Linked DNA regions of Caenorhabditis elegans. The protein of the gene in region 2 interacts with the protein of the main gene of each other region in a pairwise test. Each region holds a gene or a part of one and is shown on either strand. Other genes may lie near its edges.

Region 1 (6,719 bases), on a different chromosome or scaffold from region 2:
GAATTCCAGGAAGATTCGATTCATAAATTTTATATTTTTATTTAATAAAATCAACAAAAACGAAATATAGTTGCTAAGATTTCTAAAAAAAAAAAACAAATTCCAATATTATTCAATTCGTTTCTTTTCTTTATCATTCATTTCTTGTTGCATTCGTTCTTCTCGTTCAGATGGTGACTCAAGTACCTGAAATTAAAATAGATTTATAGATCCATTCAGTTTGATCATACTTTTTGTCTTGCTGATTGCCAACTCTTTTCATCTCCACTCCACAATCGCTTAACCAAATCCTCAGCCCCGTTTATTGTATCAGAAAGACCAGTGAGCAATGGATTTTCTTCAACCTGAAAACACATTTTGAAATAAAAAATATCCGGGCTTTTGAGTAGCCAACCGTGTCCCATCCTTTCAAAAGAGCCAGAGCTCTACCGTATTCCTTATCAGTAACAACCATATCATCTGGAGGATAAAGAGCAGCTCCTACATATCGCCCCTCGGCATTCAGAAAATTGAATGTTGCGATCGCGTCCTCCTGAAAGAGAAATTAATTGTGAAAACGTTAGCAAAATTGTAAAATTACAGTATCCATAATCTCTAATCCAATTTTATGTTCACGAAGGAATGGTGCTACACTGGCTCGAACTCTGAAAAATTGTTTTTTAAATAAAAATATTTTTTCTAGCTCATACTTGTCAATATTCTTTTTATCCCCAACTCCTAACACAAGAATGTCAATTTTTGGTTCAAGAGCAGCAAAAAGAGCAAGTGATCGTGGAGTGATGTCTTCTGGAGTTGGAACACGCCACGAAAGAGCCGTCTTTGGAAACAAGGCGATTGGGCCATATCTGAAAAGTTATTTTTGAAAGCAAAAACTCTCAATTTTGAGAACTCACAAAAATGTTCCATCGAGAAGTCGAAATCCATAGCATGAAAGTCCACGAACTCCAATTTGTTTTGCTTCGAGCATTTCCGTAGATAACATTGAAATTCGACTACGATCTGTCATGTCAGACTCTTCAAGTGGATTTATATGATAACCATCGAGTACACCTGTCAAGTTAAATATATTGTTTTTTAGAACTATTTTTTTCAATTTATAATGAATAATAAAATTGTAGCTAGTGGTATTACCCATACACGAAACTTTGCGATTCTTACCGGTCTCGACACGGCAAATTCTTGTTGAGTGCAAGAGGGTGTGCACCTTTAAAGATTACTGTAGTTTCAAACTTTCGTTGATCATCATGATGTTGAATTTTTATCAATTTTTCATAGTTTTTCTATAAAGATATACACATTAATTTATGAAAAACTTAAATTTTACAATAAAAACACATAAATTTTAACAAATCTTGAGAAAACCTACGAAAAATGGAATAAAATTCTTAGAAATGAGAGTGGGAATTTACAGCACTCATTATTTAAAGGAGTGTACTTTTTTGCATTAAAAAAAGTTTTCGTGTCGAGACCGAGTACCGTATAAATAGCTTCGTGACTGCAGGTTTGATGAATTGGAAAAATATCAGAAATCGAGTGTTTACAAATTTTTGCCGAATCCAAAACGGAATAAACGAAAAGTAACGGATGCTAAATAAATACATTTTTTATTAGTCAAAAAACCTAAAATTACCAGTGTCTGCCCGATTCGCATCTCCTCCTCCTATCGTATTTTTTGATGAACTGCTCAGAAATCGACGAGCTGTCTGTGCTCCGAGAGCAATCAACGATTTGTTCATTATGCCTAAATAACAAATGTTTATTTCATGCAACACATTTTTATTCTGATAATTTATATCTGGTTTCTCAACCATTTTGTGAAATGAAACGTTCAGATGTCGATATGATTTTCTTTCGTAATATCACAGATGAAATTAACAATCTTTGGAATGTGGCACATGAAAAATGAAAAGGCACAGTGAATTGATGAGAAATCACAGAAAAAGGGAATGGCTTTCGAGGAGTGCATTAAAAATGATTAATTTAATTATATATTTACATAGATTTCTGAAATTCTATTCAATATTTTCAATATCTGCCAACTCGTCAGCTAATGACGATTCTTTGAAATTGGCTGGAGGAGTTGCATATCCGGAAGCTGCTTCAGAAGTTGTAGTTGTGGTGATTGATGTTGCAGAAGTTGGAGTTGCACTCTGCTGCCATGATGGAATTGATGAAGTAACACTAGGTGTTACGATTGGAGCAAAATTATGTTGACTGAGAAGTAAACTTTTTATCGTGGAAATTCCGCTCTGAAAATTATTGAAATATTAGCATTACAAAAACCATCTTCTAGAATTCACCTCAACCCGATTCAAATCAGCATCTCTGTTAGCAACTGAGTAGAGGGCTCTTGAAATTTCTGATTGTTGTGTTGCAAGCTGTTGTGTTGTTTGCGAAACAGAATCCATTATGAATTTTATTGAATTCTGAAGATCGTCGACTTGTGATTGCAGTTGACGAATTTCCTCTGTTGCTGGATCAGGAATATCGAAGAATCTGGGCAGAACATATGATCGGACGAATCGATATCCAGCATATGAAATCGATCCAAGTACCACAGCTGATTGTGCAAATGATACTATTCTGAAATTTGCGGTGATATTTTGAAATCAATAATTTCATTTACAAACCCATTCTGTTTTGGAGCAATCATCATTTGCGGATGACCTCCTATTGGAATCATATTCTCTGTTCCAATTTGACTTCTCAACTGCTCCGGCGGAATAGATGCTCGTGCTTCCAAGATTTCAGCCTCACTGACTCCTTTTCCTAATAAAAACTGTCGTTGTTCTTCAAATGGAGTCTCTTTAACTTTTGGAGTTAGCATAAACTTTCTTGCTGCTTCTACCATGTCCGGTCGAATCGGGGAACTAGATGGGTCAGTCATTTTCAACCTGAAGCTTTAAAATAAAAGTATAATACATATGGCAATAAATTGAATAATCTAAAAAATGAGTGAAAATCGATAATAAAAGGTTTGAACCGATAACAAAACCATCAATGAATAATCAAATAATCAAACATTGATTTCCCGATTGATAAAAATTTATCACAAAAATTAACATTTACAATGTGAAAGCAAGAATTTTTTGAAACTGAAAATACTCGTTAGGTTAAAATCTGGCAGAAACCGCGAGGAAAAATTACCCTAAAATACAGAAAAATGAATATAAATAAGTAGTTTACACTATAAATACATAAATGTCATCAAACAATTATTTCGGATCGAGAAGGTGACCACGAAGAATGTCCAAACTCTTGTAAAGAGCATTCGAGAAGGCGGCAGCGTCACGTTTCGACTGAAAATTTTATAAAGATAAGATGTTTTCAAATTCTAAGAGATAAGATAATAACCTGAAATTTTCGAGTTTTTTTTGTCAAAAATACGGTACCTGAACAAGATTTTTCTAATCTCAATTTATTGATGTTTAGTTTTATTTCGATTTTTATATAATATCTGATAATATTTATATTCTTAAAAAAGTTTCTTTTTTTTCCATATACTTTTAAAAAACTTCTAAATATTTCTATTTTTTGACTAATTTTTTTTTCAAAAAAAAATTAGACAATTTTTCGGGTATCAACAAGATAGTTTTTTTTATTAAATGCGAAAAGCTGTGCGCCTTTAAAGCTCTTAGGCTTTGGAATTTTAATTGACTTTTTCTTTGTTTCTTACGATGTGTTCAATGTTGCAACATATTGTTGTTTTTATTGGTTTTTTTTTTCAGTTTTTTTGCTTTATTTTTTTTAAATATACATATATTTCTTATCGAAAAAATGATTAAAAAATTCCGAAGCAACGAAAGTTTGGATTTAGCAACAAAAAAAAGGTCGCGTCGAGACCACTACCGTAATTTTGACGCAAAAAGTATAAAATTTAGCGTCTGGGTAATAGAGAAATCACGAACCTTATTGCTCGAAATAACGGCTCCGAGTTTGTTGGGAACAACGTTGTATCCAATACCGAATCCATCTTGCACAACTGGTCCGAATCCTCCGAAGACAATCGTATCCGTTGACAAAGTGCTCGTTGAAAGTACAAAATGACCCATTCTCGTGTATCCTGGATCTTGGAAGAAATCTGGAGTTGGTTGGCTCAATCGTTGAGCTGTGATTTTGAGGCCGAGCAAATGTCGATCATATCCTTGTCCCATTGATGCTTCTTTTACAAGTTGGAAATGTTGTGTGGAGCAATCAGTCAATAGTTGTCGAACATCTTTACGATTTTCTTCAAGAATAGCCAAGGTGGCGGCACGCGTAGCTGATGTTGCCGATATGAAAATTGAGTTTTGAAACTTGATATTTTAATTCTGAGGAATAAGCTTACCTCATGCATTCAGTTCTTCCCTTCAAGAAAGCAGCAGTGGAACATGACTCATACGTTGGAACAAACTCTTTGTACAAAGAATAGAATGCCATTTGAATAGCAAGCTGCATCACAGAATCCGGTGACAATTTAGTTTTCTTGATCAAATCTCTGTTGAGTCCTTCGAATTCCATTGTCGCAAAATCAAGATCAGAATTTGCAGAGACGTGTTTCTTCTGAGCATCACTGATTTTAGATTTGAGAGAATCCGTGAGCTTGAATTCGAGTGCCTGCACATGTGCTGGATTATGAGATTTTGGAGTGTCGTCTGGAGATACAAAATGATTTTTGTTGGTATCCTTGAATGATTCTTCCATTAAACGAAGCACGGCAACTCCATCTCCCCACGAGTGTTCAAAGTTGATTGTGGCTTGACCGTTGGCTAAAATTGAAAAAATATGATTTTTAATAAAGTTCTGTGAAAATTACCATCGATGATAGTCTGGAAGCACTTGTCAAACCAACGATTACGAGCATCATCTCCGATGAGAAGAGATTGGACGAGTCTGAGAATTCAAAACTTTGGTTTGAAAATTATTTCATTAAAATTACCTTTTATGTTCTTCAGTTTTGAGGTCATCAAGACAAATTGCGAAAAGTCCACCATCAATTTTCTTCAAATATTCTCCATTTCCTGCGTTTTCGAGTTCCACTCGAGCTTCAGCCCACGAGTCACGATCCAACGACGTTAGGGATCCTAGGTTTTTATATTTTAGCACCATTATAAATCTACAAGAACGCTTACCAATACTGCTCTCTGGTGCCGCTTCCTTTCCATTACTCAAAATCCAAGCGAGAGATGCATGAACGTCTTCAGCATCAAGGAGTTTACCATCATCGTCAAAGATACGAACTGCGTATGGATGACCTTTGTAGAACGCAACGAAATGCTTTTGAGAGGCATCCTAGAAATATTCGAGATAGTAGATTTTAATGTTTCAATTATTAAAACTTACCAAATACAGCATATCCTTTTCTTTCTTTGGAATTCGCGATCCGCAGAATAAAGATTTATACTGTGACATGTCAAGTGGGAAAGCTTTGAATGCAACTGCACCGAACCATGAGAGACTTGGTGGAAGAGTTCTGAAAACAAGCGGTGGCTTTCAATTTCAATTAATAATTGAGACTTACTTGCAAACGGTTCTGAATAATTTTGTATCGCTCTTTTTCGGGTTCATATGGAAAACCTCTGGCCCCAAGAGGTTCTCATCGAGGGATCGCTTGATTCTAGCATAGGAAATGGCGAGATTCGTGGCGCGAGTTAGCTGAAATAATAATGGTCTTAAGAACAATCGGTAGAACTTTAAATTTGTTCATTAAGAAAAGAAAGAGGTTTCATCAAAGCTACACTGTACCCTTCCCCTTTTCTCCCTCGTATCTTTCATCTCGTAGTGTACTCGAACAATTTGTGGACTACGGAGAAGAGACTACAGAGAAGGTAAGTCATAAATAGAACGAGTATACAAAGTACAAAAATAAATCAATTCAAATTCAGAAAAAAAACTACTCAAAAACATTATTTCTCTGAAACGTATTTTACCTGATCATTGAATTTCGGATTTGGATCTGGAGCATACATCATAAATGGGTTGTAATTCACAGCAACTGGAACTCTGGCTCTTAGATACATATCAAACCATGGCTCAGAAATGTAACTGGTGTCCCTATGAGCCTTGTCGTATTCTAGAAGCGCTTCTTGAAGTTTTGGACCTTCATTGGCTTCAAAACTGCGAATGGTGGCTTCAGTTTTTGCAAAAACATCCGGAGAGAGCACTGCTTTAGAAGAAGCAAGGTAGCTGTAAAAATATGATGAATAATTATCAATGTTCAGTTTAGTTACAGAATGCTCACCGATTTACCGTATCTGGAAGCTTTGGGATAGGCAGTCTTCTCAGCGACTTCTGGAAGTGATACGATGGAATTTCTGATTTTTCCAGATATTGATAGTCGTCTCCGGTCAAAGCATGCTTTCCACGAGAAGCTGTAATTGATCGACACAAGTTTGAGGAACGAAGCATCTGAAAATTGAGAGAATAAAAATAAAAACATGAATTTAATTTAGAAAACTAGAAGAGTGAATACATTTATTGCTTAAAAATGAGTGTTCTAGATACAAAGTATCGGAAAAACCGCTCGCCATTCGATAGCAAGACACAAATGATGCGAAAAACGAGTGAGATAACGGACAACAACGTGCTGAATAATGGACTTTGAACCTTGCACGAGAGATGCGTCAGCCTCACCAAAAACGCGTCAGCATCCAATCATAGGCGTCATTCGTTCCTTGCAAAAAATTATTTTACATCATTTTTTTGCGTTTTTTCTTTCAATTTACTAGAGGCCCCACGAA
Region 2 (6,159 bases):
GATGACCTCGATGACGATGAGCACGATGATCATCCACTCCAGATGGGATGCGTGGCGAAGGGCGATCGTGTTGTCGACCATCTTCACGAGCTCCTCACAGTAGTCGAGCCGCTTGTTGAGGAGACTGGAAACAAAATTTTTAAATGGAAATCGGGACAAAAAATTTGTATTTTTTTTTTTGAAAATTGGAAAACAAATTTTTAATGAAAATTTAAAAAAAAATTGGAAAAAGATTTTTTAACGAAAACTTGTATTAAAAATCTTTTTCTTTTTTTTTTGAAAATTAGGAAATATGACTTTTCTGGAAAATTAAGAAAAAAATTTTTTTAAAGTAAAAATATTGAAACTTATTTCCCGAAAACTAATTTTTTTTTTGAAAATTAAAAAAGTGTTTGTTGAAAATTTTTAAAATTAATTTTGATAATTTCGATTTTCCGGAAAATCGAAAAATTACAGGAATTTGAATTTTGAGATTTTTTAACGCAAAAATACAATTTACCGGTTTCGGCTTTTTTTTTGAAATTTTTCATCGAAACTTTTCAATTTTTTAAGAGAAATTCGAAAAATTACCCAAAATTCAATTTTTTATAAAATTTTGTTCAAGTTGCTGAAAAAATCACTTTTTTTCTAAAAAATAAAAGAAATCAAACTTTTGAAGCTATATTTAAAAAATTCGATCATTTTTTTTTCGAAAAATGAAGAAAATTTAAAAATTTAAAGCTAATTTTCAGATTAATCGATTTTTTTCTCTAAATATCGCAGTTTTTCGTAAAATCGGATTACAAAAATCCGAAATTTCTGTGAATCATGTTCTGGCTCTAGATTTTTCGATTTTTACGTAAAAAAAACCAAAAAATTCTGATATGTATCGAAAAACTCATAAATTTTTCGATTTTTTTTCATGTTTTTAGCAAAAAAACTTCTATCGAATTCAGTGTGCGCCTTTTTTGGAATATATTTTAAAAAAAAAACAAAATTTTTTAAAGGCGCACACTCTTTTTAATTTGAATTTTTTTCGCGATTTTTTCAGATTCCTAACCCTATCCGTCTGTCTAGTGAGAAATGGCGTCCCGTCATCGTATAATATTTCTCCAATTCAGGTCGTTCCCAATAGAAATCCTTATTCAACAGGGTACAATCAAGATTAATCGAGTGTCGAAGAGCTGCGAATTCTCCGGATCTCATGAGAGCCTGCTTCCGGCTCCACGGAATCTTTCCCAGAGTTAGCGATTTTGTAGTGTTGGAGAGTGGCTCCGCAAGATTGTTTAGAAGACTTTCCCAGACTCCGATTTTCACGGAAGCAGCGAATCCCTGACTGAGTGCAAATCGCTCTAAAATTGCTTCGTTCGAGCCGTGGAAGGCGTCCAAATGTTTTCCCGAGAGGTAGAAACGATCTTGACGAATGGTGGATCCTGTAGACCTGGAAATAATAATTTTCTTTTTTAATACTTTTGAGTTTTTCTTAATTTTAAAGTTTCTGCTGGAAAATGTCATTTTATTTTTCTTTTTTTTTTGAGTTAAAAATTGCAAATTTTGCAAAAAAAAAAGAGGAAAAACCATGCCGCAGGGTTGCAAAATGACGCCCCGCCTCTATATCTGTGCGGCGCCGTTTTGTTTTGCAAATTTCGCTTATATTAATAAAAAATTGTAAATTTTTGAATTTTTGTCGAGTTTTTCCTAATTTTGAAGCTTCTATTGGAGAAAATTATCTAAATTTTCTTTTTTGAACAAAAAAAGTGAATTTTGCAACAAAAAAGCAGTGTCGCACAGAAAAAGAGGCGGGGCGTAATTTTGCAACCCTGCGGCACGGTTTTTACTTACTTTCTTTTTTTGAATGAAATGTTATCCAATTTGATTATCATAAGGTTGTGAGGCTAAAACTCAAATTTAAAAAAAAAGAAGTAAAAACCGTGCCACAGGGTTGCGAAATTACGCCCGCCTCTATTTCTGTGCGGCGCCGTTTTTTTTTTGCAAATTTGACGATTTCAAGAGAAAACGTACTGCTCTGAAAATTTATAGAACATTCTATCCTGCTCATCCATCACAATCATCGAGTCATATGGAGCATCTGCGTATCGTTCGAGCTCCCGTAGAATATGCGATCGCTGACTAGAATCAACGTTCCAAAAAACGACAACTCCATCTCGAAACACGAAAATTTCACTGAGTTCGCCTGGATTGATGGTATATTCCAGTTTTTTGACAAAGTGCAAGCTGTCATCCGCGTCCTCGTCGATTGCAGTTATATTATACATTCCATTGAGCTGTGCATCCATGATGACCTCATTGAGGTTCAGTGATTCTGAAAGTGCCATGGCGACGACTGAAGGTTCTCGTAGGGATTTTGGAACAACCGATGAAGCAACTGGGCGTCTCTTCTTCATCTTTCTAACTTGAACCCGTTCCAGATTAATTATCTCTTTGGGCTGGGTCTCGCTCCGCAGAAGTGCTGTGAATGAGAACTGGCGCCTGGCTGGACCCGGCTTTGTAGCTACTAGAGCTCCCCGAAGTATTGATTTGAGCATCTGTATTTTATAATGATTCTTTGTTACCATGTACAAATCTCATTCCAAAAATCCAATATTTACGAAATTTACGTTTTGCACAAATAGCGACATTCAATTAAAATTAACGATTTATTTGCCAACACATGGACTGGAACGAGTGAAGATTACTTCAGCTTCTTCTTGATGCGGAGCTCGCTGGAGTGTCCGCACTTCTTCTTTCTGCAGTTGCTGGCACGTGGTGGGAGACGAGCATAGCACTTTCTGCAGATCTGCTTGTCGCAGTTGTACTTCTGGGCGAGCTGACGGAGAGATGGCTCGATGATTCCTGAATTTAGAAATATTTCTCAATGCCTGAACATTAGAAAAAAACTAACCTCCACGAAGACGGAGCACCAAGTGGAGAGTAGACTCCTTTTGGATGTTGTAGTCGGAGAGAGTACGTCCATCCTCGAGTTGCTTTCCTGAAATTAGAAAATTATATTGGGTGTTTTGCCCGGAAATTAATTCAAGAATATATCAGGTCTGAATAATAACGTACCGGCGAAGATCAATCTTTGCTGATCTGGTGGGATTCCCTCCTTGTCTTGGATCTTGGCCTTGACATTCTCAATGGTATCGGAAGCCTCGACTTCGAGGGTAATAGTCTTACCCGTCAGAGTCTTGACGAAGATTTGCATGACTGAAATTATATAATTTGAAAAGAAACCGAGTAAAATTGTCAGAAAATGACGGCGAGAGCGAAACATTTGGAGGAGAGCGTAGGGGCAAAAATTATTGATTTTTCTTTAGAGACTAGTTTCAAAGGTGACAAAAGACGTTATAGACCGCATAATGTGTGTAACTACCCATTTAGAACAAAGAGGAAAGAATATTTTGCGTTAAAAAGCTGTAAAAATTCAAGAATAGAGAAATTATTTAGCAAAAAAATGAAATTTCATAATAAATTCGTTTTCCAAGCTTAAAATACAACAGAATCTCCACTTTCTATGCTGAACAAGCGTCCAGAACAATATTTTGATTAAATTGAACAGAAATTTGGAAAAATTTCGCAGAGAAACGGCGAAAATCGAGCAAAAAAACGGAAAAAATTTAGGCCCAGCGACACAAATGGAGGATTGCCGTGGTGATGGGTCTCGCCGCGAAATTGAGAGACGGCGAAAGTACGGTAGAGAGCTGCAGGATTTACGGGAAGGGGGAGAAGAATTCGAATATTATTTTTTTGTTTCAAACGTTTTTCGAACGTTTTTTTATTGATTTCTTCGAGTTTTGTTATGAAATTTACAGTTTTATTGATGAAAATTTTGTTTTTTATTGCAGAAAACTTCAAAAAATGCCAGGCGCTGACTACAGTGCTGTAAAAGGTGGTGGATTGAAATTAAAAGCCGGAAAAAAGAATTTGTAAGTGACATATTCAAGTTTAAAGTGTATAAAATCCTCCATTAATTCACTCGTTGCAGATTCAAAGTGGGAAAGGAGAAAAAGAAGAAGAACAAAGACGACAAGGAGAAAATCGATCCAGACACCGTCGAAAATGGTGGTTGGCGCAAAATTGCCGATGAATTCGATATGAAAGGAGGAACCAACGTCGCCATCGAAGTTGCCAGTGGAGCCGGCTCAACGCGAACTTATGTCGCTGCAATGGACAACGGAAAATTCACAATTGGATTTCCACATCCGGAGGGAGAAGGCCCGAATCCTGAGGAAATTTTCGCGCTCGTCAAAACTCCAGACGATAGTAAAATCAGTTTGAAGACAGGATTCGGAAGATATGTTGGAGTGGACAGCGAATATCAATTGGTTGCCATGGCTGAAGCTATTGGATCCCGCGAGCAATTCGTGTTGGTTTTCCAGGAGGGAAAAACCGCGTTCCAAGCCGTCTCCTCACCACTTTTCCTCTCTACAGTTCCAAATAAAGAGGGGCATATTTATGTGGCTAGTAGAACCGCTACGGAGAATGAAATGGTTAATGTAAGTGCTAATTTAGATATAAATAGATAAAATCCGATTAAATTCAATTTCCAGATCCGTACAGACGCTATACAAGAAGGCCCAGTCGATTGGAGATCTGTGGAAGACCGCAAAAACGCTCGGGAGTGTGAGACGGCCTACGTGAAGATGTATCAGCACTCGAAGGTTGATCTCAAGAACCGACATATTGCGATTGACGTGAAGGACAAGAAAGGAGTTAAGAAAGCGCAGGCCGACGGAAGTGCACACGAGCTGCTGCTGGACAGACGGATGAAAATGAAATCTGATCGATATTGTTAATAATCTTCACTTGTATTTGTTCTGTAAAATTCAATAAATTCTCTAATAATTATTCTTTTACTTTCTTTTTTTGTTTAAGGATGGAGTATCGTCAATGGGGAAATTGCTTTAAAATACTCTTATAAGAGCTCTTATAGGGCCACCAAAAATCTCAGTTTTCACTATTTGAATTACCGCCAATTAAGTTTGTTCGACGGGGCGCGCTTGCATTATTTTTAAAATTTAATCTTATTTATTCTCGTTATTTGACTGATTTCCTTTATTACTTGTGTATTTTTATTGGAAAAAGAGAGAAAAATGCAAGATAAATGAAAATTGTTCATTAAAACATCACTGAAAATGCGTAAAACTATAAAATTATGAGTTCCGACGACAACAAGTCTGAAATTAGCATTTTTCACACAAGTTTTACCAATTTTCAGTGATTTTTTAATGAACGATTTGCATTTTTCTCTCTTTTTTTAGATAAAAATACACAAATAATGAAGGAAATCAGTCAAATAACGAGAATAAATAAAAATTAATTAACTAAAATAATGCAAGCGCGCTCCATCGAACAAATCCAATTGGCGGAAATTCAAATAGGAATTAGGGGGAAAACTGAGATTTTTCTAATTTTCAAAAAATCATATAAAATCTAGAACATTTTTTTGATTTTTTTTTTAATCATGATATTCGGTCATTGTGACCCAATTTTGTGACTTTTTGTGACGTTTCAAAGCAATTTTCCCACTGAATTCAGCTTCAGCTCGCTTTTTCAAAGTTTTCTCTTCCGAGACGAGATTAATGAAGGCCATATGCCGTCCTTGGATGGCATGCAAGCTTCAAGTACTTCCCCTCCACTCTTTTCCTTGAAATCGTACCTTCCTTTCGCCTATACTCCATATGGAAATCCGGTTCCACTGTCAATTCACCGGATGTTGTTGTATAAAAGAGGAGGCATATGAACTGTAGTTTACCAAATTCTGCCGAAAAAAAAAATGGCAAAGTCTACTACAATTTTTCTAGTATTAGTTGCCGGTGCAGTGGTTACCGAGGCTGTGAGTATTTGGAAATTAAAAAAAAATAGGTCTCGAAAATATGATTTTTAGATTTTTAAAAGGTATTTTGAAGCTGAAATTGCAATTTTTCAACTAAAATTACGATTTGCCAGGTCTCGCAAAGAACGATATATATTTATATATTTTTGAACAAAAACGGTGTGCGCTTTTAAGAATTACAGTAGCCTATTTTTATATTTTTAAATTTATTTTAAAGCTGAAATTGCAATTTTTCAACTAAAACTACGATTCCGGGTCTCGTACAGAGCGACATTTAATTTATTTTTTGAACAGAAAGGTGTGCGCCTTTAAGAATTACAGTAACCCATTTTCTTTTTTTTTTC
Region 3 (7,794 bases), on a different chromosome or scaffold from region 2:
CAAAAAATGAAACATGGGCGGCTCAAATATGACTTGTTTTTTAACAGTGTGTGTGTATGTTTGTTGTTTTGAATTTTCGGGAGTTGGGACCATTGAAAACGGAAAGAATCTACCCCCGGAAAACACGCAAAGGATCTCTTTTGTTCGGGTAAACAAGTTTGGGCTTTGGTTTAGCAGTTTTTTGGAACTTTTTGAAAAGTTTTTGAAAAACAGCTCAGTATGATAACATGTTTGGGAAATATGGCATCATTTGAAAAAGTGAAAATAAAAAAAGAAAGTTGTTTCTGTTTTTTTGGGACAATTTTTAAAATTTTCAATTTTTAAAAACACTGAAAAATCCTTAGAAATTTGTCATATTTTCTATAATTACACACAGTTTTTAACCAATTTTCGATATACATCTTAACAAAAATTGAGCCAAGAAGCTTAAAAAAATTTTGGAAAAAAACACTAATTTTCAAAAAAAAAATTTTTAATTGCGCCAAAATTTCAGTTTCGTTATAAGTTTTTTAATAACTATATAAAACTCAAATTTTTTTGTACAATTTGCACTAAAATTTAGCCAAAAATCTCAAAAATGGACAAAGTTACAGTAGTTTGAAAAATAATTTCGAAAATTCAAAATCTTTTTTTTTCAAATTTTTAAAATTTTTTTGAATTTTTTTTTACAATTAAAAAAAAATGAGCCAAAAATCCCAGAAAATGGAAAAGTTACAGTAGTTGGAAAAATTCCGAATTTTGGAATCTTGATTTTTTCAGTCATTTACAAGATAAAACTTTACTAATTAAATGCTATATTAGCATAAAAGAATCAATTTTTAAAAAATTTGAATTAATTTTGTTGTTTTTGAGAAAAAAATTTTTGGGATTTTTGAAAACTTTTGTTTTGAATACAGTAACCCTCTAAAATTTTAATTCTGGAAAAACTCACTTAGTCATCGAAATCGGCAATTGAAATGAAACAACAGTTTGCTCTACAAAAAAGAGCACAAAACGAGTAAGTGAATGGGGGTGGGGGAGAACTCAAAACTGCGCCGGGCGCGGATCTGTGTTGGGCAAAGCTCACTGAGCCAAAGCTTCACTCTCTCTCTCACTTGTCGGGAAGCTCCTCTCAAAGAGCACAGCCCGGTTGGCAGAGAGATACGTTAAACCTAGAGAGACGCAGAGAAATACACGCTCTCGGTTTTCCGTCTTTTCATCTCTATGTCTCTCTTGTTCCCGGTATCTCTGGGTGGGTTGTGTGTGGCAAAAACGGGTTGATAACAAGACTTCTTAAACTGACACTGATTCGTAACAACAAAAAAGAAAAAATTAACAATGGGAAAGAAAGAGCAACAGCTGAGAGTCACTACAAACTACAACTATCGTAAAGGAGCAATACTAAACTAGGAATACGGTAAGTTTTCAATAAATATTTATAAGTATTTAATTAACTAAAAACTGCAATCCTAGCTTAGCCTCAACCAATTTCATGACCATAGCTTTTAGAGAAATGAAATACAGTAGAAGGGTGGGCGAAAAACGATTTTTCCGGCAAGTCGGCAAATCGGCAAATTGCCGGAATAGGAATTTCTGGCAAATCGGCAAATTGTCGGAATTGAAACTTTTGGCAAATTGGCACATTGCAGGAACAACGGCAATTGCCGAAAATTTTCGACAAATTGTGGTTTTGCCCTTTTTTTAGAAATTTCAGAATTTCAATTTGGTTTGGCAAAATTTCCTACATCTATTCCAAAAAGTAAGCAGATTCTATGAAAGTATCTAGAAAAAACGGGAAAAAAAATTCAAAAAGGGACAGTTGTAGGTGTTTCCGTATTATACAAAGTCCCTCTAAAAACTTCCGGCAAATTGATGTTCGGCAAACGGCAAACCGGCAAATTTCCGGCAAATCAGCAAACCGGCGATTTGCCGATTTGCCGAATATGTCGACAAAAATTCCACCATTTGCTCCAAAAACGAAAATCCGAAATACGATTAGTGGTACGGTAGGTTTGTGTAGTTGCATACGTTTAATATTTTTAATATCATCCATTAATATTTGAATTTGAAAAAAAAGTTTGCCCAATTCCAAGTTTTAAAAAATCTGTGACAACACTGGTACATGCTTAGCTTCAACCAGAAAGTTTCTAGTTAAAAGGGTTTTAAATATTAAAATCAGTTCTTTTTGAAGTTTTTTTCAAAAAATTAAAATAAACTAACTCGGTAAACGGCTGCCTTGGCACTAACGGCGTCGCATCGTCCTCCTTCTCGTATACAAATGTGTGATCATCGCCGAATGATACTCTGCAAAAAATATGATTGAAGTTAAAAAAATTATAGTATTCATTTTAATTTTGGTAAACTGTTGTAGCGTAATTAATTTTAGTTAAAAATCTAAAACTTTGCTAGTGTAAAACATCTCGAATTTGTATTTTTACAATACACTTGTACTTGACATGTTAAAAATTCCAAATCTGTCACATTTCATATTCATTAAGAGGTATCTGAATTCCCCGGTAACCCATAAACCTTAATTCCTCACGTTTTCTTGCGTTTTCCGAGTCCAAAATGTTTGAGAATACTCCTCATTCGATATTCTAAAAGTAAGAAGCTTAAACAATAATAAATTTGCTGTTTGGAGCCAGAAATTATATTAGTGTTATGAAGAAAAAAGTCAAATATACAAACTAGAAATTAAAAATCTAAAGAAATTACATTAAAGAGGTGCTCTAAAAACTCAGGTAGACTACAAACTACAAACTGGTGGTCAGGCTTGGTTGAGGCTTAACGACAATTGTAGTTTGTAGTCACTAGACCTATAAATGGGAACACCGATGAGGTAAATCTGTGTATATGTATATAAATATAAAAATGAAGTATGCATGGCAATTATAGAGGGGAGAGATTCCGAATGAAAAAGGAAATGATGATGATTTTGACCTTGAATTCAGGTAGGGCCTGCCTGTGGTGGGCTGGTTGAGGCTTGTCAAGTGCGCGAAATTAAGATGTAGATGGGCAAATAGACGCAGCAGGTAAAAGGAGAAATCGGTACTAATTTTTGGGTGCTTCATTGTATAAGCATGGGAAATCTTTGTAGGCATTGTAGGATTAGGGATGTTTCAGAGTTTTAATCAGCTAGGCCAAAGAAAGTTTTGTGGTGGCCTAACTTTTTAAAAAAATCTAGGCTACCTAGAAAGTAGGTGGGTTCATAAGTTGGTTTAAAGATCAGAGCCTTCCAAAATTTCTACAGCCTTAACCAACTGGCTAACTCTAAAAGGCAAAAGCTTCTAATCTGATACGGCGAAAAATTCCCGGAAAATATGAGATTGTTAATTGGATTTTCTGTGTTAAATCACCTGCGTGCTAGGTGCTGGGCGTTTTTTGGGAGCAAAGTCCGATTAAAGGTAGAAACATTTGCAGAACAGATATGAGTTTCAGAGAAAATAATTTTTATTCAGAACTCAGCTACAAACTACAAACTATCAAGATATATCTGCATAAGTTCCTGTATATGTTCTGCGCTTTGGTTTAAATTTCAGTGCTGGTGTTTTTTTAACAATAAGAAAAACAATATTTTAGATTCAAAATTTAATTTCCGGTAGACCTCAAGCTTACCACCAAGTTGGTGGCATCAACTACAAAGTTCCCTTAGACTCAACCAACTGTACAGTATAAAGAAGACATCAAAAAAGAGAAAAAACTATTTGACTTTACAGCCAACACAAGAAGGTGACTGAATTGATGGACGCGCGTTCACTTTTTTTTTGTTACGATTTGATCATCAAAATGTGTTGGTTGGAGAGAGTGAAAGAGGTGTTCCGTTATTTTGTTTTCATCCGCATTTGGGAATGTTTTATACTAAAAGATATGAAGGTTATGCAAATCTTTTAAATATTTTGTATAAATCCACTTTTAAAAAGCCACGTTTGATAGAAGTACATATGTTAATGCTAAAACTTCAGTGATGTAGGCCTAAGCCTAAGTCAAAGCCTAAGCTTAAGCCTAGGCCCAATCGTAAGCCTAAGCCTAAGCCCACTATAAGCCTAAGCCTCAGCCCAGTCCTAGCCCTGAGCCTGTCTAAGCCAAAACCTTCATTGATTTTTCTCCCGATTTTGGGTCGTTTTTTCCCATTTTTTTCTATTTTCCATCAAATTTGCTCAAAATAAAACGAAATCCTTACCGTTTATCCTTATTATTTCCAAGTGGCGATAGCGGGGGCGACGAGATGGCAACTGAAGCCATAGAATCGGGTGTCGTGTCGCGCCTTTTGCTGTGTTTTGTTATAGTAGAATCCTTGTCCAATCGAGACAGAAAGACGATGGCTGCCACCAGATGTTTTTGAGCACAACAATTGATGAAGGCTCTTTTTCTCTCTTGGTTTTCTGGAAAAATGAGCATTAAATTAATGTGTTGGAGAGAGTTCCTAGCAGCATGGAGGGAAAAGAGAGCAATGAGCAAATAAATTGAGGTCGAAGGGCGAAAAGTTATGGAAAAATGGGGGATTTTGAGGAATTACAGACTCAGCCTAGGCCTAAGCCTGAGCCTTATCCTATACTTAGGCCCAAGACCCAAGCTAAGCTCAAGGCCTAAGCCTAAGCATGAGCATGAGACTAAGCCTAAGCTTAAGCCTGAGCCTAAGCCTACGCCCGAGTCTTACCCTGAGCCCCGGCCTGAGCCTTAGCCTTAGCCATTTTTTAACTCTCTCACAATTAGTTTGTAGTTTAAAAGTACAAAACTTTGCTAGCTTGAACCGTGGGTTTCTGGCATTTTTCTCGGGTTTTCATCAGATTGTTCTGGCAAAAACACATTTTTAATTATAAAATCAAACAGGAAGGCAATAAAAGTATACTAAACGAGGTGCGATATGCAATAATAAATATATAGGTGTCGGAGATAACAAAGATAACTTTCATGCCTGTATATGTGTCGGTTTGTCCAAAACATCCTATAGGAAACAGCTGTAAACCCATGAACCCGTTAAAAAAAATGGGTGAAAATCAAAAGAGTCATGAACTTGACAGCTGTGGCAAGACAAAAAAAAATAAAGAAAATGTGTTGAGAAATGTGAAGAGTGAGAGAAAAAGACGACACATTTTACGATTTTCGGAACACTCTCTCAAATATATAGATATATATGAAAAGAAGAAATAAGAAGTAGAAGAAGATGGAATGAGATGTAGAACACATTCGGATTAGATAGGCGGGTCATCACTGAAGGGGCAGACAGATTAGGATTTAGATTAGGGAGGGATATTGGAACGGTATCAATTGATGAATATCAGTGATTGAAGTGGAAGTTTGGTAGGGTTGGATTTGGAAACGTATGGTATTTAACAATGTTTTGCATGTATTTTTATATAGTTTTGCAGTTAAAAAAAGTCAATAATTTAAATAAGAACCAAGATACAGGAAAAATTTTAAATGTATTTATTGTGAAAAGTGTGTTTATATTTTCAATATGAACTGAGATACACGCTGACAAAGTTTGAGGGTTCGAACCTTCGATGCACCATGTCATTCTCAGCTTTGTTGGTGTTTATCTCGGTTGTCTATGAGTTTATCAAAAAAATTTAAACTAACAAAACATTCGTCAAGTAATTTTCTATTTGTTAAGAATGAAAAATGTGTGTATATCGTTAAGCTAAATTAAGATTTGAGCCTCCAAAGTAAAGGTGACGATGCACCATGTTCCACTTAACTTTGGAAGCTTGTATCTCGATGGGATTCGTACATAAAAAAATGGTGTCAATTACAAAATTATAGTAAATTATATAATGAATATTTTATCAGTTAAAGACTTTTTGATATGTGCAATATCCACCCTGAAATACGCCGCCAAAGTCTGGCAGATACTTATAGTAAGTAATGATTATGAGAGCTCATATCTCAATTGTTTTTTGGTTTATCAAAACTTTGTTACTATTGAAATATAGAAAAACACACAATAAATATTTCGTTAGTTTAAAAAGTTTTGATATCTTTAAAATGAACGGAGATGTGGCCTGCCAAAACGTTTGAAAACATTTTAAAAATGTTAAAATGTTAGGCGATGGGTGAGGGCAGACACGCCTCTAATATGGGTGGGGCTTACCCGGTAGCCATTTTGTGGGTGTAGCTGGTCAGAGAAGGAAAAAAGAATTTTCAGAAAGATATGGGACTCGCCGAACTTTCCCAGAAAACTGTGTGATCGCATTTTCTCCACCTTCTCCCACTGCCCGTCAATGTTTGTTCCGAAATTTTCGCGAAAATGTGAATTTCGACGAGACATCGCCGCCGCGTGAAGAGATTTAGACGGTTAGGCGGAGGTTGAGGCGACCTAACACGTCACGGATTACTGTCATGATTGTGTCAACAATTCGAGAAGGTTATCGAGAGTAAATTGAGGGTAAATATAAAAAGGAATCGGAAACTGGTTTAAAGGGTCTATAAATTTTGAATAAAACTATGAAACTTGGTATTTTAAAAAAATAATTTTCAATTTCCGCTAGCCGGGAGTCGAATCAGGTCCCCGGTGGGTGCAAGGCAAAAGCTAGACTTTTCAGAAGAGTGGTAGTTTAAAATGCTAGCAATATTTAGTTGTTAATTTCTAATAATTGATTTTTAAATAAATAAAAAGTTAGGAAGTTTCGAAAAAAAAGATAACAAAATATCGATAACTGATAAGAAACAGACAAAGAAAAAAAGGAAATCAGTAAAAACTAACAGCCGAAAAAATTGGAAAAATGCCAAAAGAGGAAAGATGGATGGAAGTGGGGGGAGGTCGTTTTGGAATGGAAAAGGGGCAGAAAAGAAACACAAACACAAAGGACGACGACAAAAAATGGACGGCAGGGAATAAAGAAAACTAAAAACTTTTTTTCGTCTGTCTTATGGCTTTTAAGGCGGTTTCCAGGCGACCTGGTGCGGCTAAAAGTGCATTCGGTGAAAAATTGTGTAGTTTGTAGTAAGCTAGCCTCACTAAAACTACAAACTATAATTTTTATTATTTGGTATCACAGTTTTAGTCTCTTTATTTGAAACGATTCTTGAAGTCTGAGAAAATATTCTCAGCTAGGTTCAAAACTTCATAAATAGATATAGTTCAGCCCTAGACTATAAACTACAATGTTAGTTGAAGCTAAGAAACTTTTGTAGTGAGTAGCCTGCTAGCCTCACCGATATAATAGAAGCAATGTTGAAAAGCATTAATCTTGGCTAAAACTTAACAAATTTAAAGTTTAAGGTCTTCGGCTGAGGTTTAGATGAGCAGTGTAGTTTGTAGCTTTACTAGTTTTACTAGTTTATCACTACAAACTACACTGAATTTGTGAAAGACGTACTAAAAAGGAAGGAAGCAAAGTTTTTGGTAACTAGGCAACCAGAGATATAGAGACGCCGAGAGACGACTTGATACGAGACTGATATGAGATTCGGAAACTCTCGATAGCTCTCTCTCACTCTTTTGAATAATATGACAAGTATGTGCTAGTAGTACATATATTCAACTATATATATACACATAAATATGACAACATGAGAGAAGAGAGGGGGTGGGGGATTTTGGGGTAAAATAGGCATAGAGAGACGCAGAGAGATAGAGAGGATGCGTTGAAGTGACAGACATCCCTTTAATTAAAGCGCACTTCTTTTTTTAATCTTGGGAAGCGTCTGGGTCAGATTTAACGTAGATCTTCCCTGTATGCAGAAGTGGCGGCCAATATTCTTATCCTGGCGCGCTTGTCGCTCATGGCGCAGTGGCTAACACGTTTGCCTGTAACCTGTGACAACAGGAGATCGATTCCTTTTGCGGGATATAGTTTTTTCATGGGATGTTTA

What was found. Proteins that work in one complex are often made in the same cells at the same time.
Region 1: the proteins of ubq-2 (region 2) and prx-14 interact in a two-hybrid assay, tested with the Caenorhabditis elegans proteins (one large-scale study listed by BioGRID).
Region 3: the proteins of ubq-2 (region 2) and W05B5.1 interact in a two-hybrid assay, tested with the Caenorhabditis elegans proteins (one large-scale study listed by BioGRID).

What each region holds. Positions count from the first base shown.
Region 1 is NC_003282.8:11,179,313-11,186,031, reverse strand, and holds prx-14 (Peroxisomal membrane protein PEX14), read right to left. Parts: upstream 2,901-6,719; 5' UTR 2,888-2,900; coding exon 2,631-2,887; intron 2,584-2,630; coding exon 2,301-2,583; intron 2,250-2,300; coding exon 2,013-2,249; 3' UTR 1,737-2,012; downstream 1-1,736. Other genes in the region: nuaf-3 (NADH dehydrogenase [ubiquinone] 1 alpha subcomplex assembly factor 3), read right to left, coding at 109-186, 231-344, 395-532, 581-644, 690-845, 894-1,050, 1,631-1,736; cpt-2 (Calponin-homology (CH) domain-containing protein), read right to left, coding at 3,216-3,299, 3,909-4,275, 4,328-4,748, 4,796-4,872, 4,919-5,063, 5,112-5,271, 5,323-5,452, 5,501-5,634 and 2 more.
Region 2 is NC_003281.10:12,975,338-12,981,496, forward strand, and holds ubq-2 (Ubiquitin), read right to left. Parts: upstream 3,187-6,159; 5' UTR 3,185-3,186; coding exon 3,046-3,184; intron 2,969-3,045; coding exon 2,882-2,968; intron 2,833-2,881; coding exon 2,672-2,832; 3' UTR 2,626-2,671; downstream 1-2,625. Other genes in the region: ZK1010.2 (DUF155 domain-containing protein), read right to left, coding at 1-124, 1,040-1,420, 2,002-2,525; frg-1 (Protein FRG1 homolog), read left to right, coding at 3,838-3,905, 3,965-4,475, 4,530-4,775; dbd-14 (DB domain-containing protein), read left to right, coding at 5,756-5,815.
Region 3 is NC_003279.8:13,030,052-13,037,845, reverse strand, and holds the start of W05B5.1 (uncharacterized protein), read right to left. Parts: upstream 4,222-7,794; coding exon 4,160-4,221; intron 2,575-4,159; exon of another isoform or gene 2,569-2,574; coding exon of another isoform or gene 2,522-2,568; intron 2,284-2,521; coding exon 2,200-2,283; intron 1-2,199.